2 linked regions of the Yarrowia lipolytica genome follow. The protein of the gene in region 1 binds, or shares a complex with, the protein of each later gene. Links are inferred from orthologs where the notes say so. Each region holds a gene or a part of one and is shown on either strand. Other genes may lie near its edges. The genes, in order: YALI1_C29983g and YALI1_E05972g.

Evidence for each region.
Region 2: YALI1_C29983g (region 1) and YALI1_E05972g share a complex: the UniProt entries of both Saccharomyces cerevisiae proteins name them as parts of the CTF18-RFC complex. The link is inferred for Yarrowia lipolytica from reciprocal best matches to the Saccharomyces cerevisiae genes RFC5 and CTF8.

What each region holds. Positions count from the first base shown.
Region 1 is NC_090772.1:2,993,112-3,004,758, reverse strand, and holds YALI1_C29983g (uncharacterized protein), read left to right. Parts: upstream 1-6,411; coding exon 6,412-7,458; downstream 7,459-11,647. Other genes in the region: YALI1_C30022g (uncharacterized protein), read right to left, coding at 1-2,536; YALI1_C30007g (uncharacterized protein), read left to right, coding at 3,978-4,550; YALI1_C29968g (uncharacterized protein), read right to left, coding at 7,508-7,936; YALI1_C29926g (uncharacterized protein), read right to left, coding at 8,117-11,647. UniProt on the Saccharomyces cerevisiae protein: Component of ATP-dependent clamp loader (RFC and RFC-like) complexes for DNA clamps, such as the POL30/PCNA homotrimer and the checkpoint clamp DDC1:MEC3:RAD17 complex.
Region 2 is NC_090774.1:595,032-606,199, reverse strand, and holds YALI1_E05972g (uncharacterized protein), read left to right. Parts: upstream 1-8,959; coding exon 8,960-9,319; downstream 9,320-11,168. Other genes in the region: YALI1_E06065g (uncharacterized protein), read left to right, coding at 1-171; YALI1_E06056g (uncharacterized protein), read left to right, coding at 545-2,353; YALI1_E06031g (uncharacterized protein), read right to left, coding at 2,637-3,050; YALI1_E06028g (uncharacterized protein), read left to right, coding at 3,371-3,922; YALI1_E06015g (uncharacterized protein), read left to right, coding at 4,068-4,094, 4,612-5,685; YALI1_E05994g (uncharacterized protein), read left to right, coding at 6,645-6,722, 6,800-6,979; YALI1_E05975g (uncharacterized protein), read right to left, coding at 7,214-8,602; YALI1_E05963g (uncharacterized protein), read left to right, coding at 9,866-10,810. UniProt on the Saccharomyces cerevisiae protein: Essential for the fidelity of chromosome transmission. Required for the DNA replication block checkpoint.

The sequences.
Region 1 (11,647 bases):
CGCCAATGATCTTGCCAAAGAGCTTGTCAGCCCCGTAAGAGATGGAGGCGACTCCTCGACGATGTGACCGGGTCTGGGCCTTGGGTGCCTGCATGGACACCGGTCGGGGTCGCGAGAAGTTAGGAGCACCGGGATTAATGGCTCCAGAGGGCGCTGTGGGGATCACTGCAGCAGGCGCAGCAGAAGCAGCGGGAACAACAGGAAGAGGTTTTTCCATGGACGTTCTGGACGTGCTGGTTGTCTTGGACTCAGCTGAAACCGCTCGGGGGGTCGTAGACTTGCCAGGAACCTGTGCAGAGGTGGGGAGGGCTGGAGGGGGCATCAAAGTGGTGTCAGACTGAGCCACAGTGTCGACAACTTCCTTGTCAGTTTCCTTTTTTTCTGCAACCGACTCAACCTCCCCGATAACACCCTCATCTCCACTCTCCATTGAAGCCACAGAATTTCTATTGGACCAGTTGGAGAGCGCCACCTGGCTGGGCGAGTTGCGGAACTGCGGAGACGACAGCTCACCCTGGACCATGGAGTCCGAGTACTTGACCTTGGGCAGTGACGACTGGGGCACCAGAAAGGAGCCGCTCTTGCGTCGTTCATCGAATGAGATCTGCGAGTCGTCCGACGAAGGGCGTCGGAAGAAGGTCGAGCCAGCCGTACTGGGTGTTACCAGCGACAGAGGTACCGGCTGAGCGCTCTGCTGCGACGATGTCGGGGTCACCGAGTTGGCCGAACCAGGCACAGAGGCGTTCTTGTTAACCATGTGCATGTAGGGGAACGAGTCCGGTGGCTGCATGGACGACTGCGTGGGTGTGGGTTGGTAGGATGTGGGTCGGGGTTTTCGTCCAGGAGGCAGACGAGTAGACGATACCAGAGGGGAAGATGGATCTGAAGCAGCAAACGACGAACTAAACGAGGTGCCAAATGACGCTCCAAACGACTGATGTTCAAGCACGGGGGCTGAGGGGGCCGTAGCGGGGGCGCTGGGGATAGTGTCAGCCGCAGAAGCCGGAGGAGTGGCTTCAGGAGCAGTATCGGGGACAGCAGGAAGATCACGTGGTCCGAGATCATCCGCCTCCTTGCCCTTCTCCTTGACCTTTGGACTGCTGGGAGGCGTGGGCTGTTCAGTGATGGTGCCAATGGAAGGCTTGGGCAGATCAAAATCGAATTTGGGCGACGTGGGGGATGCCCCCGGGGGTGATGTGAGTTGCGAAATGCCCGTGTATGTGGCAGATCTGGGGGCTTGTCGGGAATTGGACGTGCTATTGTTGTTGGTATCTTCGGGTATATTGAGTGAGGCCACTGAGGGCGTGGAAGCGTGGGTGGGAGGGTTCGCCGCAGCATGCGACTTGGAGGCAGAAGCAGCAGCAGCTGTGGCAGCACAGGGGCCAGCACTGATGGGTCTTGGGCCTGCAGGTGTGTTTGAGGACACAGTTGCTCCAATGGTAGACTCCCCCTGTCGCTGAATGGGCTTGGAGTACGTTCCACCAACTGAATGTCTATTATTGTACGAAAAGTTGGGAATGTTGACTCCGGAGGGCTTTGTGAGTCGTGAGTCAAAGACTGGAGCACCAGAGGAAAGCTGGACTGAGTGGGATCGAGGCATGTGTGTCTTGACGGGGACAGCCACCTTGCCCACTGCGTCTTCCCATTCCTTAGGAGTGATGGCCAGGAAACGAGAATGGGGAGCCAGCCACGAATGGTACCTGACATCGTTCAACGAGATTCGTTTTCGGGGGTCCGGCACCAAGATGCGTCGTAATAGGTCCCGTGGCAGCGGCGGCACGTACTCGGGGAACGTGAGGGCCGTCGTGGTGATGTACTTGTACAGTTGGGTGATGTTGTCCGAATCCGGGTTGGCCGGGTCATCGTCGTATGGCAGGTAGCCAGAGAGCATGGCGTAGAGAATGACTCCGCAGGACCATACGTCGACCTTGCGGCCTGTGTATTTCTGGTCCGAAACCACTAGTTCTGGAGCAGCATAACAGGGAGAGCCACAGGATGTGGCCATGAGATCGAAAACGTGGCCGTCTGAGCCCCTTGAAAAGGTGTTGGCAAAGCCAAAGTCCGTGATGATGATGTTTTTGTGTTTGTCCAACAGCAGGTTTTCGAGCTTGAGGTCTCTATGGACAATACCCTTGGAGTGGAGGTAGTGGACTCCTGAGACGAGTTGTGCAAATAGGCGGCAGGCTGAGGCCTCCTTGAGGTACTTGTGGGTCAGAATGTGGTCAAACAGCTCGCCGCCAGACGCATACTCCAGCACTATTCCAATATATCTGTCGTTCTGAATGACTTCCTCCAGCCGCACAATGTTGGGGTGGGTGAGGATTTTGAGTGCGTTAATCTCCCGATGCACCTTGGCCTCGCGGTTCGAGTTTGGGGGCACCGTCTCGCGCTTGATGAGCTTGATGGCCACCTGCTCGGGCTGCTTGCCGTCCTTTCTCCAGCCGATTTTCACCTTGCCAAACTCTCCCTCGCCCAGAGTCGACCCCAGAATGTAGTCTCCGAACCGGATTTCTCGCGATTTTTTTTGTCGAGACATGGGCGTGCTGTACCTGTGTGCGATGGCGGATGCGTGGTTGGTTATGATGTTCTTTGGAGGCGATGGTAGCGGAGTTGTTGTGTATCAAGCCGGTCTGCGGGTACAGATCAGGTCTAGCTGTAGAATGGTGGGGTACCAGGGGGTTGTGGGTGTACACAGACGGGGTATGTGTTTGTGTTTGAGTGTGTGTGCGTTGGGGGGGAGGTGAGTATGCTGAAACGAGTCACGAGCCAACCTCACAAAGTAGCGTCCTACGGTTGGAGCTATCACGGAGGACCAGGATGTGTTTAACACTGGCGTTTTGGCAAAGGGGTAGTGCAAAGCTTATTTGGGACGGTGGGAAGTAAACAGACGTCATGTTTGTTTGTGCAGCCCCTATCTATACAGTCTAAAGTCAAACTTGCACACAACAGCGCACAGCGGTATGGCCGCAGTAGGAAGTGATGTGTGTTGGTATTGCTGATGAATTGCAGGGGTTGGTGGATGGATGGAGATGTCGACACCGCAACGGTTCTCATCGTGAGCCCGGCACTGTCCCGCCTCCACAGTCGTTGCTACGCCACGCGTGTCCAATCAAACTCTGTAAACAAACACTTGGGCCTGTATGGGAGTGGACATCACCGTGGCAACCACGTTACACCTTCAGAGCGGAACGTGGAGGGTGACCAAGCCGGCGAGAGCAGTCTGCAACACCACCAGACCCGGTGGTATTAATTTCGATTCTTTAATTTTGCTCTTTTGCACACGATTCAACCTCCATCCTCGTTCTCTCAGTTCCGCTTTTAGTCTCGCCCGTGGCCATGCGTGGTCAATGCGACAGAAACCATATTAGCCAGGGTGAGACATGGTGTGACGGGTGAGTGGGGAGGGTTCTAGCGGGATATTGGCTGGTTGGGGGAGAAAGGGGCCGCTCCCAGGGGCTTTATAAGACGGCCAATGTCCATATTCCGTCTTTAAACCGCTTCTGGCGGCCCCCTAACACCCTCCCAAACACACTGTTATACCTCCCGCCATCCACTATAATTAGATAGGCTTCGGGAGGTGTCTGGCAACAGAGTTTTAGCACTTCGCTCTAGGTTCCAACCCAAACAAAGAGCCCCACGGTAGAACCAAAACCGCCGTCAGGGAGGTTTCAATTGTAGCAAGAAAAGAAAAATTTCGCAGAGACGAAGCTGTTTGGACGTGTCTTGTGTCGCCATCTTCCAGCTGGCTTTTCTACACACCCCCAGCGGCTCCATACCCCTACTTATCGCCGTCGGCCCCCTGCATGGTGAAACAGGGGGTGCATAGCTGCGACTGCCACTCACCGCATTCTCACTCTGTCACCTATTTTTCTTTTTCTTTTTCTTTTTCTTTTTCTTTTCACCTCCGCCACACACGGCCGCAACAAGACGCTCACAACTCCCGAATCTAATGTGTATACTACAAGTACAATCTCATTATGGAACGTAAAACGATATTCGCCAGTGGTAATCTGGAATGCGCTAGGGATACAGGTACACACATTCTGGAGCTTTGTGGAGCTTGTTTGTTGGCGGTGCAAGGCGCAACAGGTAGTCAACGTACTGTACTCTTACTGTACTCGTACCACACTGACACTTATTATGGCCAGTCGTTGGTGATGGCACCTTCGATTGTCTATCGGAGCCGCATAAATCTCCGTCCATCACCACACTGTACAGCTCACCCAGGTACAACTGTTTCAGCAACCAGGAACCCCCTGTTGATCGACGGCCGATGCGTGGATCCTGTCGGGAACACAACCCACAATGAACATCAACACAATGGCGTGCATCACATGATGGCACACACCCCCGATAGACACCAGCGGTGCTTGTTCCTTAGCCCGTCCGCAGCCCAGGCTACTTGTACATTCTGGATACTCCTTACTGTACCTCCTGTCAGGCACCAAACAGGCCTACAGTCAACCTCGAGGATGGAGAGAATCCACACTGCCCATCTGAAACAATCTATGGCTGAGGCTCTAACACCTCCCACAATCAAGACTGTTTAGATCGACAGGGTTCACAAGCCCTCGTCCAGGGTTATAATACCTGAAATACCTCATGTGTTTTGGCTCCTGGGTTGGAACTAAAAACCGGCGCTAACGCAGCCAAGCGGGTGTAATTTACCCCAGACGGCCGACTAATCCAGTCTAGTGACGTCACACACTAATTTCCCAACACGACAGCAATAGACGCTCACTAAAGGGCCGTTTCACCTTGCTAACGTGGTTCTGGATCCTCGTGTAGCGGGGTATCAGAAGAAGGGTCATCACTTGTTGGTCCCTTGTGTGCCAGATGCACTCATGCACAAAATTAGACGAGCATGATACAACCGCCAAAGTACACAACTGGATCAAGACTTGCACCCACCCACTATTATTTCACCGAGGTCTCTCTATCGCCAAAAGTGCAGTAATCTTTGCGCCCATAGAATTATTTCCTCCGATAATTTCCCCTAATAATTTCCCCAAACGCCAATAATTTTGCAAACCATCGACCCTCCCGAGCAATAGATCTGAGACACAAGCCACCTGACGGATCGTGAAGCTGACCAATATTTACGAGTACGATGCACAAGTACGGGTAAAAGAAGGAGAACAGGTCGTGCATCATCATCTGAGCACCCCCTGGCTGACCGTATCCTGCTGAGTCTGGCACATACACAACTCCTTGCTGGGCTTGGTAGAGCTTGCTGAGCCTTGTGGAGTCTGCTGCGGAGTGCTGAGCCTTGCTGGGCGTGTAACCAAGCCATTACCCCTTGCTGAACATCTGTAGCTAAGCCTTGTACTATGATACGAGTCTATTGACAGGGCTTTTACTTCAAGGCTTACTTCTTGGGCTCGAAAAGCCACTTGGAACTGCTTGAAACGCGATGGCTCACCTTTCGGACGCAAATATCAGCCTCCTTCAGCTTGGACAAGAGACGTTGACGGTTGGCTATGAATGGTATGACCATGGGCTAACGGTATCCAGGAAGCATCAGGGAAGACAAGGGCGTGGGGACAAGGTAATCAGGAGTGTACCACGTGATTAACCCGAATAATTGTTGATTATTGCCCTCATTGCTACAAATATTGTCTCTCCTTCATCTCTTCACCTCATCTCTTCACCTCATTCGTTCACTTGATACAGTTTCTGAAATACGACAACCTAAACTCAGCCTTGCATGGAATGCTGAGATGCAGGACAAGCAAGAGAAATGTACGTGAAAATGACAGCAAGCACCACAGACGTGGTGGGGGTCGGAAACGCAAAAAAACAAGACACTCCGATACCGGGAATCGAACCCGGGTTCTCCGCGTGAAAGGCGGAAGTGATAACCCCTACACTATATCGGACAGATTGTGAAAATTGGGTTTTCTCGACCCACAAGAGCGTGGAAAATCCCGTTCTGAATTTTACGCGGGAGGATAATTACTCGGAGGAAAAAATGGGGTTAGAATAAAACGACACGGAGATGGATGACAATGATGTGTGTTAATGATGTGAACTAAAGCGGAATTGAGTGGAATTGAGTGGAAATCAAACTCTCCTCTCTATAGTAAATGCCCTTTCGGTGGGCTCTTCACTTTAGTTAGACTTGGTTGACTCAAGCACAAGTTATTGTTAAGCTTTTACCCAGTAGTGTGTATTTTCCTAAAATCCGTACAACTGCAATCAAATCTGACTGGTTTTTTTTTCTAAATATTCATCAACCCATTCACACTCCTTCTACGACATCTTATATTGGTATATTTCCCCGAATACCGACTTCTCAACACCCTTGTATCCTCCATCAATCTCTACAACTGGCAAACTCTAAACGCCAAATCACTTTTACACGCGTCTCTACATGTCCCATTTTCTCCATCACCACATCAACCCCAAAACATGTCTCTCTGGGTAGATAAACACCGTCCCAAGTCCCTCGATCACGTGGATTACCACCAGGACATCTCCGAGCGGTTTTCCGCGCTTGCCGCGACAGGCGATCTGCCTCATCTTCTCGTCTACGGACCGTCGGGAGCAGGCAAGAAGACCCGAGTCATGGGACTGCTCAAAAAGCTCTACGGCCCCAGCGTGGAGAAAATCAGCACCAAGTCCCACAAGTTCGTGACGCCGTCGAAGCGAGAACTCGAGCTCGGCGTCATTTGCTCGGCTTACCATCTTGAAGTGACGCCGTCCGACATGGGCAACAATGACCGTCTTGTGATCCAGCAATTGCTCAAGGAAACTGCTGAAACTCAGCAGGTCGACCTCAATGCCAAACAACGGTTCAAGGTGGTGATCATCAACGAGGCCGACTCGCTGTCTCGTGACGCCCAGGCTGCCCTCAGACGAACCATGGAAAAATACACAAAGAATATCCGACTGATTCTGCTCACTAACTCCACCTCCAATATCATTGCACCCATCAGGTCGCGAACCCTGCTGGTGCGAGTCGCTGCACCTACCGAGCAGGACATTGTCAACGTACTGGAAAAAGTGGCTGCCAAGGAACATGTGGATCTTGAGAACACCAAAACCCTGGAAAAGATTGCTTCGCATAGCGACCGGAACCTGCGGAAGGCTCTATTGACTCTGGAGACTCTGTACACCTTTGCAGGCTCCAAAACGGTGTCGGAAAACACTCCAATTCCTACTCCTGACTGGGAAATGGTCATTGGCCGTATTGCCCGAGAACTCGTGTCATCTCGAACCCCAGCCACTCTGTTGGCCATCAGATCGCTCTTTTATGAGCTGCTCTCCCATTGCATTCCTCCCTCGACGATTCTCAAGGAGCTCACCTACAGACTGATTCCGGTGGTGCCTGCCAATCTGAGGGTGCCGTTGATTTCTGCCGCAGCCACCTACGAGCATCGGTTGAAGCTGGGTGCGAAGTATATCTTTCATCTGGAGGCGTTTTGCGCAAAGGTGATGGTCTTGTTGGAGGAGTAACCAGTGAAGTGAGTGCAAGTACATGCAAAACAAAAGACACTGGCCAGTGCTATTGCAGTGAAGGAAGGACTAAGGATATATATAGATAATGAAGCATTGATTGAAAGTAGGCGTTGGTCTGATGCAGTGAACAGCATGCAGATATCCTTTGCCCTGCTACTTCAAGTACAGTAGTCCATTCAACGGGTCCATCATCGCCTGTGGCGCCAATGACGCGTTCAACATCGCAGTTTCGTCCCAGAACTGGTTCAGAAAGTGTTCGGAAGCTGAGAAAAGGGAAGCTGAGAAAAGGGATATCCTCGCAGACCCTACCACTCGGAATGGGAGAAACAGAAGGTGTCTGTTTCCTCGCCCAGGATATTGCTAAGCAATTATGAATAGCGAGCTCGTGAGGAAGGGCCATTATCGCAGAAGAAGCCCCTCGTGTCACCAATGAGGGTTGGCGCCGTGCTTCTAGATTCTTTGTACTTGGTGACATCCACGGACTAGAGTCAAGACGCGAGCTACTGGTAGGACAGACGCTGATACTGGCACAACTACAGAAACACTTTGGCGCTTCACCCAGGGTTCGACTGTGGTACAGAAGGCACACACGGCAACCAGCGCAGTTATAAATAAATATATTACAATACAAATAAATAAGTTCTCCATCGTTGCATCACCACTCCAGCCCCTCAGTCCACTCCACTAGCCTCTCACTTGCATCTTCCGCCTTACTCACTGCCTTGACCCGTGAGTAGTAAATAGGACAGTCCTGAGACTCGCACCTAGTCTCAAAGTCGCCTGAGCACTGCGCGCAGATTGTGTTGAGCTCATCCAGCCGCTTCTCCCTGTACCTCAGATCGGAGTTAAGCACGAATGTTGCATGACCAGGATCACTCTCGCACGTGGCGCAAAGTTTAGACAAGCCAGACGTCTGGGCAGTCTTGCAGACGATGCACGAGTTGGACACAGCGTACGACTTGAGCGTGGTTTGGTTGGTCTTTGCTCGAGAAACAGTCTGGTAAAACTCGTACCGCCGCTTCTTGGGCATCTCCTCGTACCACTTGAGAACAGAAGCACCCACACAGTTAAAGAACCGATCCAGAGGGGGAATCAGAGTCTTGTGAATGTAGTAGTCGGCGTCGAGAATGAGAGAGTTGGCGTTCCTGACTAGTTCTTCAGGAGAAACACATCGGTCAATCAGCCGACTTTTGGGAGGACCAGCAACAACCACATATGGGATACGTTCCTTGTACTGGGGTTCAAAGCGCATGTCGACTGCCATTTTCTCAGCCGAGATCTTCGCACCCGCGGGCAACACTCCCCCTTCCTTGTACTGGCCTAACTTGACTTCCTTGGCAAAACAAAAGTCCTGAATCGAGACCTTACCAGTTAGAATCTTCGTCCACTGCTCGTAGAGGTACGATTTGACCAGAGATAAATCAGCAGTGTCAAACAAGATACGAAGAGCCTTCTCCTCAATCTTCTGGGCAGCAGGGGTGCCGTCTCGTCGCACAGTTTCGATTCCCTTGGCGTCGAAAATGGGATACATCTGCTTCGAGTACTCCCACTTGTAGCCCACGTATCGCTTCTTGGATATGAGCATGCAAGGAAGATAGACCTTTTCAAACTGCAATTTCATGGGTGCTGGATTGGCAGATGTTATGGTATCAGCGATCTCAGTACCAATCTTGAATGCTTCATCCTTGGTACGACCAGGTAGACATACAAACAACGAGTCTGTATCGCCGTAGACGACCTTGGCTGCCCATTTGTCCGATCCATGGATCACGTCAATGCACTTTTCGAGCGTCTCACGTCCACTTTGAACTATTGCGTCAGCGATTTCGGCACAGGGCATACGTCCAGAGAAGGAGGCAGAAGTGTATCCATATGTGACGTTGGCCACGAGCTTCAGAGCAAGCTGTCGGTTATGGTTGAGTCTCTGGAACGACACATTGTCTCTATCGAGCTTGGCAGTATCCTTGACCATGAATCTGGTCTCCAGAATCTCACCCAGCATTCGAGCTAACAGAGAAACTCGAATATGGGGTTTCACAAACACCAGGCCATTTGGAGAGATGGTCACATCGTCTTTAGTCAGCAACCGTTTTACCAAAGACGGCTTGTAGAACAGTTTCTCCGTTCCCAAAGTGTTTCCGTCCTTTTCAAAATCAGTCCATTTGCCCAAACAGGTGGAGTAGCAGTAATTGTGGGCTAAGATGACGGAAGGATAAAGAGACTGAAAGTCCAGAACAAGAACGGGGCTCGTATAAAGTCGAGATTCGGGCTCCATTACCAAAGCAATGCACTCCAGGGCATTCTGCTGACCAACCTGTTCTCTACTGGGGCTTGCCAGCATGAAGTTCTCACTTTTTGTCAGGCGAGCAAGAAACGACTCGACTTTGTACTGACTGCCGCGGGTGTAGACGGACGAAAAGTCGATTCCCACCACTCGAGCCTGCTCAGCTGTTCGTGAAACAATCTCCAGAGTGCTCAAGAGCTGCAGATTGTAATTGGACCGCGTGCATTTGTACTCCACAAGTAATTTCCGGTCAGACAGACTGCCCACACACATTTCTGTGAGCGTATCGTGTGTGTAGAAGGGAATGCGTTCGTGTAGAACGTGGAAGACGACATTCTCAAGCGTGTATTTCAACAAAGAAACCTCCCCACGAATCATACGCCACAAGTTGAGCACATGACGGCCAACTACTTTGACTCCAGAAGCCTTTCGTGCGCCCCAAGTGTCAATTTTCGAGCTCATCTTATGATGCTGAACCCTTCCAAATTCACATGGGTACAACATGGTCTTGCAACGGTCTTGAACATAGCCCCAGGAAGAAGCTTGGACTTCAAAGCCAGTCAGAATGTCAGGATCAAAGTTCTCCACCATTTTCTGAAGATGAGTGATCATTTCACACTCTGTTTTGACGACAGTGGAAGGTGCTTCGATGATGTTTGTGAAGTCTGGGCAATCCTCGGCGTTGATAATCACTCCACTGGGACCACCCAACATGTGCCAGACAACGAACAGGATTGGGTCAAGATCTGGGTCTGGATTGAGACCTTTTCGAGTGTTCACATGAACCTCCATGCTCATGACCGTTAAAGCAGCCGACTCGTGTCGCTGGGAGAGTGTGTTTTGACTGGGGAAAGAGTACTTGGGCTTCTGGGTAGGAGGCGCTATCTGGGACAGAAACAGATCAGCATTGTTGGTAGTCTTTCCTATCCACTTGAGTACGTCATCACGCGATGGAGGAGACTTTGCCAGCTCAACAACGCCCTTAAGAGCATAGTTTGAGGGCTTTTCGGGGAATCCCGTTGGTAGATACTTTACGGAAGACCCCAGAATTCGAAAAGTGACGCCTCCGTGTGTCATTGTTTTTGTGGGGACGTCTGAATCACGTGAGTAGTGCGGCTTTGGGTAGACTTTCTGTGCCATGTTGTTGTCGTCTAAATCGGTAATACACAGTCCACGCGATGGAGGTGGCTTGAAAGTGTAGACTGTTGTAGTTAAAGTAGCAGTAGCAACAGCAGTACTCGTCTTTGCAGTATTTGGAACATCAAACTTGGGTTTGGTCACCTTGAAGTTGAGTCCCTTTTGTTTCCTGGTTGATGGGGGAGGAGTGGAACTGTGTTTTCTTGTTGCACTGCTTCTCTTTTCCTGGGACATGGAAGGAAGATCGTCAAAGGACACATCAAACACAAAACTGTCCACTTCTGAGGCACCCTCTCCCTTGAACATGCATTTTGTCGTTTCAAACGCTGTGGGAACGAGATTGTCGTATGGCCTTTTGGGCCAGAACTGCACGTATGAATGGGCCGAGTCTGCCTTGCTCACCTTCTCCTCCAACTCCGAGAACATGGACTGGGCTGAAAACCACTGCTCCCGCGGGTCATTTACAGTCCTTTCTCCATAGTCACTCTTGTACTCGCCTTTGCTGAACTTGTCTCTAATGCTCTGTAAGCTCGTCCACAGCTCTTTCAGTGAATGGAACGCCTTGTCCCCTGGCTTCTTGTTGGTCGAAATCACCAGTCGGTTTAAGATGTATTCGGCCTGCAAGTCAACCTCAAACTCCGACTTGGAGATCATACCTTCCCTTCTCATCATGTACCTGGACGCCTCCATCCATCCACAACCATGCAAATTGTAGTCGCAAAAGAATTGCAAAATGTAAGACAAGTGGCTCTCAAACACACGCGA
Region 2 (11,168 bases), on another chromosome or scaffold:
GTACATACTCTACCAGACTTTGTATGTACGAATACAGTAGTACCTTGCACTTGTATGTATGTGTTCTCGTACTCGTATCGTAGGTCATGTGACATTCTCTGTGTGTGTGTCTTACTACATGCTATTACCCCCTCTCTACCGTACATGGCCCACCCACATATCTCCGTATAACAGGACAACGGACCGTGAAGCACCTGACACAGCTCATATGACACAGCTCATATCCCAGAAGAGGACTCCGTCCACAGGGTCATCGTGGGCATCGGCCCCCTTGTGGTTTCTTTGTCCTTCTTACAGTAGTGCCAATAATATCCCTACACATGTAACCTTGGTCTTCACGTTAGTGGTATGAAAGAATGAAAGCAAAAGCTGGGGAAATGTGGTAAAAAAATACTAGAACGAGTGACCTGTTTTTGGTGCTTGTAGAGTCGAAAATATTATACTTATCTTAATAGTCACGTTACGCGCGGCCGGCACACGTATCATATCTCCGTACATCTTTGTACATCTCTCAAGCGGGTACACTTTATCACGTACCAAGGTCATGCGGAAGGATGGTCACACAGCAAGAGGTAAATCTCAATGCAGAACCGTGAGTGCTAAAAAATACTACCACAACAAAACAAGAGCGCGAACGCATGGTGCAGAAGTGACAGTTTTGCTTTTCTCCGACAAGCACGATTTTCTTCTTGTGCAGGTACCTACACCTTCTCTCTTTTGCTATAAATGGCTTGATTGCGCTATTCTCATCCTTACACACACACACACACACACACACACACACACACATACACACATACCGACGATGTTGCTACAAGCGTTTGTTTCTGTTTTAGCACTTCCAGGGTCTCTAGCGCTTCCGCTATTCGATCAGAAGCCTCTGTTGCTGGCACCATACGCGAGACCAAACGTGACACTCATTGACGCCCAGAAATTCGAGTTGTGGCTCGCTCAGCAGACTCATCACGCCTTTGAGTCTGTCCTCGACAATGTGGGACACCAAGGTAGCAACAACGGTCTTCCCGTAGGCGTTGTTATCGCTAGTCCCTCTAAAACGGCCCCTGACTACTATTACCAATGGACTCGGGATGCTGCCATCACCATGGACTCAGTTGTGCGGCGGTTCTATGACCAGGCTAGTCAAGGTATACTGAACGACACACTCAGCAACATCATCATGGGATACATTGAGACTCAAGGCATGTTGCAGCACGTCAGCAATCCCTCCGGGTACTTTGACTGGAACAGACGTGTTGTTAGTGGTTTGGGAGAGCCTAAATTTGAGACTGACGGCTCAGCATTCACAGGGCACTGGGGTAGACCTCAGAATGATGGACCTGCACTCAGAATTAAAACGATCTCGCATTATATTCAAACCCAGGTGGAGTGGAATGAAACAGCTTCTCTCGACGACTATGTGTATATCTACAAGTCTATGATCCTACCCGATGTCGAGTACATTCTACAGTATTGGGATCAGCCGACTTTTGATCTCTGGGAGGAACTGGAGGGCTACCATCTCTTCACTTCTCAAGTGCAGTTCAACGCTCTCATTAACGTCGTGGAACTTGCAAGACATTACTCAGATCGAGAGACCGAAAGCAGATGTACATTCACTGCTGGATCGATTCGACAATTCATCAAGACACATTTCGAGGCTGGTTCTCGGCTGAATGCACAATTTGAGCCCAGAAGTTTTGGAAGGTCGGGCCTTGATTCCTCCATATTCTTGGCCGCTCTTGACTCGGTTAGATGGGAGTCTAGCATAGCTGCAGGTACATCTCTCAAGCCCTACGACGATCTTCTCATTGCTACTATCATGCCTTATGTGCACTCCTTCGACTACCCTATTAATCATCAACGATTAGCTGAGTTCGAGGAGTCTTTCCAGGATGAAAATCCTGGGTACGTCGCCGTTGGTGTTGGTCGTTATGCTGAGGACGTCTACGATGGAGTGGGAACCTCTCATGGCAATCCTTGGTTCATCTGTACCGCTACCATTGCAGAGACCATATTCTTCATTGCTCACCACTTGGCCCAGCAGTCGTCTGATTTTGTTCTTGAGATCAATAGTCTCACCAAGGAGTTTTATGGTACGTTTGTGTCTTCTGACCGCATTGCTAGAGACTCCGAAGAGTATCAGCATCTGTTGGACCGTCTCGTTGACCTCGGTGACTCGTTCTTGGATGTCATCAGAGAGCATCAGGCTAACAATGGAGATATGTCGGAGCAATTCAATAGATACGATGGGTTCATGCAAGGAGCTGAGAAGCTGACATGGAGCTACGGCAGTTTCTGGTCTGCTGTTAGAGCTCGCCAGGAAGTTATCAAAGGGACCAGTGGGAGGAAATGAATTGTTAACAGCGGGGGCTGTCTCATTGCTACAATGGTAGCCGGTGGACATTACGAGTCCGCCTAAGAGAAGATGTGACTAGACGATGATATTTATTTATTAAATGCACAAATGAATGAGACTGCAATGCACAAGTACCACCTTGTGTATCAAATTCATGTGTTTATCGTCATTACTACAAGTAGGCGGTTGCAGAGAAACCTCATGTATTATCAGCACTGTAGTATACTCGTACAAATAATTCGTCGTCTAGACTCGTTACTCATTACTACGCTATATACAATTAATCCTCAAAGTCCTTCTTTCCAACGGGCACTTCCAGTCCGACTCTTCGGGCAGAAAGTCGCACTCTCTCCTGATCGGCCATATCCACTCCAGGGTTGTATCGGGCCAGCAGGTCCTTGTAAACTCGCTGGTTCTCCAGAAACAGCAGCATGTCCTCGGCGTGCTGGATCTGTTCGGCCTCTCCGGTTCCGTTTGTGAAGTACTCTCTGAGAGCAGTACTGTTGTAATGTGAAGTTCGGGGTGTGGGCAGCTTCTCAATGGCCTTGGGTGTAGTTTTCTTCTGGATCGCCTCGTACTTCGCCTTGGCTTCGTTTCGCTGGTTCTCACCGTTGATGTGGACGGTCATTGCAGCGACATACTGCTTTGACAGCTCTCGATAGAGCGATCTGTAAAGGTTTAGGGACTTCGACATATTGTTGATGCCGTTGATCTGATCAGGATCACGATTTTGATAGTGCTACTTGTAGTTTGATTCTGCCCTGATATCGCGAGTTCAATTTGGGCTGTTGTACCCGTGGTTTTTGTTTAAGGTTTGGATTCTGTGTGCGCGTTCGATTCTCATCTGCGTCATCGACACTTAGAATTGTGGAAATGTGCTAACCATATCCGCTAGCGCAGACGTTGTTCCCAAGATCAAAGCTAGTTCACCGGCTCCCCAAACTCCCACTAATATCCATTATCCGGGTCGCTCCGGATCGTGTTTCGGTGCAAGGTTTTTCCTACTTTTGGCCAATGGGCACTGCACACACGCAGACTTCGAAGTCAAAGAAGAAGTCAAAGCTGGATGGGAGCAAAGAGAGGAGCCAAGGGTGCAAGTATGACGAGACAAAAGAACGCGGTTATTGGAGCAACCGTGAGTATGAGACACCGTTGGACGTCTCAATTGGCATCGTTAGTCAATTTGAACGTTCCGGTCGACCTCCACCGATTATTTCGACACCCCTTAAGCCCCCATTCATATCCCCCCTGCTCGGAGCTAAGCGGATAAAAGCCTCTATGGTCGGGTACCCGGACGGATGTTGTTTTTCCGATTTGCATGGAGATATGTGGGAGAAACGTGTACATGTAAATGAATGTAACAATGTAAATTTTTTGGCGGAGTATGGTGCAGCTGACAGGGTACAGATGGAGCCGCAGGAAAAAGTTTTCCAAGTAGTATATGGCCTAGGAATATCGAATGGCTCGCCACGAGCCCAGTGTGACGTGCCAGACACTCTTTTTAATGCCCCTGGCGCAGCTCTCTTCTTCAAGCTTGTCTCCTTCGAAATAGAGGTTTCGCTCTGACGCCGTGTTTAAACCTCGCCGTCCTTAATTTCGTAAAAGCTTTTTTTGCATCCTCCCACATAAAACTCTCTCTCTCTCTCTTCTTTAACTAGGACACCTTTTGGCAACATCTTGTCGTCTAATCGAAAACATATCCACATCCACAATGCTTCGAACCGCCTACCTGGCTAAGGTGAGTACTCCGGGCGAGTCAATGGAGGTGACTCAAGGTGCAATGGAAGCACCGCTCCATGGCACAGCGATGCGCGCTACATGACCGACGACATCTGTGTACAACCCATAACATTTTCTCGGAAACAACAACAGCATCACAGACAGAGACTCGGGGCAGGGGAAGACGCCATTGAGACCAATGGCTAGTGTATGTCGCAACTCCGGCGCCGATTGCTCCACAGTCTCCTACTTTGGTCCTGTCCACGTCACCACCACCCCCGGAACATCTATGCGTGTATTTATTTTCCCTCCACTATTTTTTTTCCTGCATGTGCTACGGAGAAAAATAGTAGCGGGCAGTAGCACACTGTGTGGGGACAGGGGAATGGAGAACAATTGAGGCGATGCGGATACGAAGACACCTGTTTACGTTGTTGTCGCACGCCGCTGCTGTTGCTGGTGTGTTTTGTGTTAATTGCCGCACACCACAATAACTATCATCGACACCAAAACATTAGGATAACATACTAACCCAGGCCGCCTCGGCTCTCCCCAAGCGAACCCTCGCTACCAACGCTCGAACCATGTTCCAGCCCAAGGAGTACGGATCCAAGTACACCGTCACCCTCATCCCCGGTGATGGTATCGGTAACGAGATTACTGACGCTGTCAAGACCATCTTCAAGACTATCTCCGTCCCCATTGACTGGGAGGTTGTCAATGTCACCGGTGTTGGCGAGAACCATCTCGACGGCTACGAGGAGGCCATTCGATCCATCAACCGAAACAAGGTTGCCATCAAGGGTATCCTCCACACCCCCGTTGAGAAGCACGGTCACACTTCTTTCAACGTTGCCCTGCGACGAGAGCTCGACATTTTTGCTTCTCTCGTTCTCATCAAGAACATCCCCGGTGTCCAGACCCGACTCGACGGCATTGACATGGCTCTGATCCGAGAGAACACTGAGGGTGAGTACTCCGGTCTGGAGCACTCCCCTGTCCCCGGTGTTGTTGAGTCCATCAAGGTCATCACCAAGCGAAAGTCCGAGCGAATTGCCCGATTTGCCTTTGACTTTGCTCTCAAGAACAACCGACACAAGGTCACTGCCATCCACAAGGCCAACATTATGAAGCTTGCCGATGGTCTGTTCCGAAACACCTGTAAGGAGGTCTCCGCCGAGTACCCCGAGATCCAGTACGGCGACATGATTGTCGACAACGCCTCCATGCAGGCCGTCTCTTGGCCCCAGCAGTTTGACGTTCTCGTCACCCCTAACCTTTACGGAACCATTCTGTCTAACATTGGTGCCGGTCTTGTTGGAGGCCCCGGTCTCGTCCCTGGTGTCAACCTGGGTACCGAGCACGCCGTTTTCGAGCCCGGTTGCCGACACGTCGGTCTTGACATTAAGGGCCGAGGTACCGCTAACCCCACCGCCATGATTCTGTCTTCCGCCATGCTTCTGCGACACCTCAACCTCGATGACTTCGCTGACGTCATCTCCAAGGCTACCTACGACGTTCTTGCTGAGGGCCAGGTCCGAACCCCCGATCTTGGCGGCAACTCCACTACTGACGAGTTCACCATGGCTGTTATCAACAAGCTCCAGTAATTATGTATGATTTAGATGATATTATGACATTGAACGAATTATTGATGAGTAGTGGGTGTGATGGATTTAGTGTGGATGTACACGGTTCTTGTAATAATGTGCCATGCTGTATAACAATCGCCTTTCCGCAGCTGTATCTATGGGTATGATTAACTCTGATGATCCGGAGATAAACTAATCTTAACCACTGTACGATACATATACTGTAAGATGGCACCCTGTGGTTTAACCCTTGTAGCAATGTGTTTAAGCAAGGGAATATTGTGATAGAGAAGTGTATTTGAAGTATGTGGCTGGTACGGTACTTGTACGAGTGTGTTTGTGTATTCTAAAGATGGACATTCCACATATTCGCTGGTCAAGGTGTTTTGTTTGAGGATTCAGTGAGGCATATTTCTTCACTGGGTGTGATGGAGTTGGGTAAGGTTATAGGTTTTTACCAGAACTTGTACTTGTAGAAATACTGAACAACTATATCACCGTGATAAAGAGTGCATAAGAAGGTGCGTTGAACATGATGTTTCGGCGCGCAAAATCGAGAATTTCAAGTTTTTTGGTCGGTACTTGCGATAAGATGAGTCCAACTAAAATGTTAGATTTTCAATACCGCTCAAATTGCGTGTTTATGAGACTTCTTGAAGCCGTGATTCTCCCAGCTTCTCCGAACTCTACAAGGTTCATACCGAGATTTGGTGATGAGTGGCAATAGGAGTGCAGCGGTTCATTGAGGGCGAAATATCAGAAGAATGAGAAGATGTAGTTATTTCAACAGTGCACAATGATATTATATGCTCACGGGACTCTGAAAAGCCTTTGAACGCCATATTTCAGCCCAATCACACTCGCCCCTCTCTGGAAAATAAACTCGACACGTGATACCCTTTTCCACCTGGGAGTGAAAAGTATTCGTTGTTGCTCAAGACAATCACACACATCAGTCACCCAAATCACAACACAAGATGGATCAATTGAACAACCGAGAACAGCAGGAGTTCCAGCAGCTCGTCGAGCAGAAGCAGATGAAGGATTTCATGCGAGTGAGTATTCCAAATTTCTTGATGACAACCACGACAACAGAACAGAACACAACACCACACCACACATACTAACCCAGCTCTACTCCTCTCTCGTCCAGCGATGCTTCACTGACTGTGTCAACGACTTCACCTCCAAGGCTCTGTCTTCCCGAGAAGAGTCTTGTCTCGAGAAGTGCTCCGAGAAGTTCCTCAAGCACTCTGAACGAGTCGGCCAGAGATTCCAGGAACAGAACGCTGCTCTTATGCAGAAGAGATAAAATGTACATATTAATTGATCCCTGTTCGAGTTACTAGATGAGGCGGTGCAACCCCAATGATTGTGTTTGATGTTGCCCTTGTTGTACTTTGATATTGTATTTATTCTGCATCACTATCATCATCTGCCCGGAGTCTGATCATACTGGACTGTGCCACTCATAGCTGCACCACTTTAGTTGCAACTGCAAACATGGTGTTATACATTTGTAATCATTATCAATCGTAATTATGTTCTACTCCCCACCTGCTCCCCGAAACAAGGTCAAGAGAGCATCAGTCTCCTGCTGCATCTCTCGAGCCCACAGGTTTACATCAGAGTCCCAAGGGTTGTACATGATGGCGTTGGCAAACATCTTGGCGACCTCACGTTCAAGCTCAGAAGTGGATGAAATACGTCCGTCCTTGACCTGGGCCTTGATGGTCCGGATGTCCGTCGGCGAAAAGATCAACTCGTAGTAGTTGGGCGCACTGTTGGGATTGACAGGGTGTGTGAAGAAAGACGCAGATTTGTTGGATGAGATGTTCGAGAGCAGATTGCCAGCCACGTTCTGAAACTTGCGGTTGGCCGAAGGGGCAGCAGAGGTGTTTCGGCGCGACCGCTTTCGCGAATCAGAGTCTTCAGTGGTAGATCGTGCTCGCTTTCGAGTCCGTTCCTCGGATCCAGGAGTAGCTCCTGCCTCTGGAGTTTCCGTCACCCGGTCTAATTCGCTCTCATCGGGTTCTTCTGTCTCTCCACGGTCGGTCTCCACGTCGGCAGTCGTTTCCTTGTCGGACCCCGACTCCTCAGCCTCCCTCGCGTCCGACTCGACATCTGCCTCTGCACCATCAGCCTGCTCCTCTTCATCCTTGTAATTCTGCTCTTCAGCCTCAGCCTCAGCCTCAGCCTCAGCCTCAGCCTCAGCCTCAGCCTCTACTGTCTTCTTTTCGGTCTCGACCTCAGTGTCCTTTTCTTCCTCCTTGACCTTTACTGACTCCACATCAGCCTCTGTAGTCTCAACTTCAGCCTGCTCCTTCTTACTGCTGTTTTCGTTCTCCTTCAATTCCTCCACAGCGTCAGTCATCTCTACGTCCTCGTCGTCAGATTTCGTCATTGATTGCTGAGCTTTTGAGGCCTCTTCCTGCTCTTTGCTAGCTTCTAGTGCCTCCCGTCTGGCCTGTTGTTCTTTTTCCTGTTGTTCCTTTTGTAGTCTCTCCTTCTCTAGTCTTTCCTTCTCTAATCGCTCAGTTTCGGCCTTAATCTTTTTATCCCGCTCCATCTCCTTCAGATGCTTGAATTTCACCTCGTCGGCTTTCAGACCAGCCACCGTCTCGTTGTACAAAACATGTCTGAATCCATCCACCAACTTGGCCAAACTGCTCAGAGCGAGTTCCTTTTCTGCAATTTTCGTCGATGAGATCATCTGACGCCACCACTTTTGACAATGGGCGGCAGTTAGCGAGGAAGGGCCTCCTGTCATGCTGAGAATGTCGGGTTGAATCAATGGGTGTTTGGGAACTTGTGTTGCCATGTACTCGGCGATAGGTTGGGGGATATCTGGTAACACGACTACCGATTTGACGCTGTTGTCGATCGCGTACTTGTAGAGAGTCTGTGCGTATATCAGGTTGGCCAGAGACGTCATTATGATGGCTGGGTTGAGGTGGATAATGACTGTTTTGGTGGAGATGATATTTATCCCACGTAGAGTTGCGCTGGGACATGCATATTCAGAGGTTCGAAAAAGTAGACGAGGTTGAGAGCCACTAAAGGGGTGATACAATGAGATTCTGAAGCAAAAATTCACTCGGTATATAGTAAACAGTCTTATACAAAGATTACGCTTACACCCATCTCGTCAGCCACTCCCTTTATTCACCTAACCATCTCTCTCTACCTTTTTTAGAGCTCTTCTCCCTTCTCCACACCCAAACTCAAATGCGCGTCTACAGTGCGTGCTAAATTAAGAGATCCACTCACTGTGTACTTGACAACCATTGACATGAACGTGACCAACATATTTCTGGACCACTTACGACAAAACGACCATGTGGAATCCGTGCCTCAGATGATCCAGACCCCATCGGGAATGGCCATTGTGGAAATCCAGGGAGAAGTGGTCAGTAAGGCACATTTGCAGGAGGGATCAAGACGCGTTGGATCCATTGAATTTGAAGAGAAAAAAGCCACTCTGGTGATTGACGGGAAACAGCGAATGCGAGGATCGATAAAGAAGCTCGACAAGCCTCTGGGGCTGCTCAAAATGGACCCCGAAAACCGGCATCAGGTAGATCTCATTGAGATTGTCACCCACAAGGTCTCCTTCACAGACATTCCCGAGCCTGTTGGAGCGGAGGAGTAGAACCCATACACTGTCGAGTTATGAAAGGTCTGCTCGGCTGTAAAGAAAGGATGTGCTCTACTACAGCACATACGCCCCAGTTGCCAGCATTCAGTGCATTAAAGAATGCTCGACAAGATACACCAACAGTCTCTTCTTGACTCACTGTGAACCGCCTCAAAAAAAACAGCATCAAATCAACATATTTATAGGTAATAAAAATGCATTGTAACGACATGGCTGTAAGTATTAAAATAATTGATTGGAATCCGATTCTTGTATTTGCTTATGACTACTGGCGGCTATTGAAGGCACAACAGCACTCTTTAAAACACCCTCATGATGCGAATGCGCACGGAAACGATCTTTTACGCTCCTCCAGTCTTCAAGAAGTGATTCCTGGAGCTACATTGTTCGAAATCCTCGCCTATGACCCATATGACCTTCGGTTAGCTACACAAGTCTTTTTTTCCCGTTGTCACTATCAAAAGCCTAATTGCATGCATCTCACGATAACCACAGTGGTGCCTCGACAAGCAGTGATTGACATTCTTCTCAACCACCAACATGCACTCTCACCACTCGCACTCGGGACAGTACGTCCAACACGCTAAGGATAGTCTTGAAGAATGTGTCCAGGCAGCCAAGGACAAGAAATTCGACGTTTTCTGTCTCACAGAACATATGCCTCGATCCAGGGAGACCGATCTGTATCCTGAGGAGATTGAGTCCAAAACTACTCCTGTTGATCTCGCTAAGGTCTTTGACGATTATGTGAAACATGCTCGACAGCTACAGAAGGATAACACTTCCAACACAGAGATTCTGGTGGGCTTTGAGTGTGAGTCTATCCGAGCCGAGTGCTGGGATCGAGCGGTTGAGCTCAAGAAGCACTATGGTCTTGACCTGTGTGTTGGATCTGTGCACCACGTCAACGGCATTCCTATTGATTTCAGCCAGGGCCAATGGTGCGATGCTTCTGACTCTGTGTCCGATATGATTGACGACCAGACTACTCCTGAACATGCTCTCTACAAAAAGTACTACGAGATCCAATGGAACATGCTACAGAAACTTAAGCCCGAGGTGGTTGCTCATTTTGATCTCATTCGACTGTACTCCACCATTAGAGAAGGCTTTGGAGCCACCGAGAACTACGTGCGAGAGAACTGGCCAGATGTTTGGGACCAGATCATCAAGAACATCGATTTCATCATCTCCTATGGAGGTTTCATTGAGGTGTCTTCTGCTCCTCTTCGAAAGGGTTGGAATACTCCCTATCCCCGGCCTGACATTTGCAAAGCTGTTATTAACCGAGGAGGACGACTGTGTCTGTCAGACGATAGTCACGGAGTAGCCCAAGTGGGACTCAACTATAAGAAAACTCTCGAATATCTGGAGGGCCTGGGAGTCAAGGATCTGTGGTTCTTGACTAAGAAGAGTGGCAAGGTGGAGGCTCAAAAGATTGAGATTGTGAGAGCCAAGGAGGCTGGTTTCTGGGTCTCCTGTTAGAAAGTCAGCTGTATTTCTCAGCGAAAGTGGGTGTTACTAAACAATACGCATGGGCTGAGTGGTGCGGTACCGTAGTTACTGCTACATACCGAGTGAGCGTGGATCGAGTAATGTGATCCACCAACCCACATATCATGTATGCCCTTTCCCTAAACACTAGACCTACTGTAGATTCAAGATAATGTATATAAATAATCACTGACCATGGATCCGATACTGTACGTGTACTTGTACTCAAACTTGGCTCGTAGAAGTGTTGGAAATGTAGAGGGAAATGCCGCGTAGGAAGGATGGGGATATAGTACTACTCGTAGCTCGACAAGGCGGAGCTATTCATATATGTATAAACAGTATATCC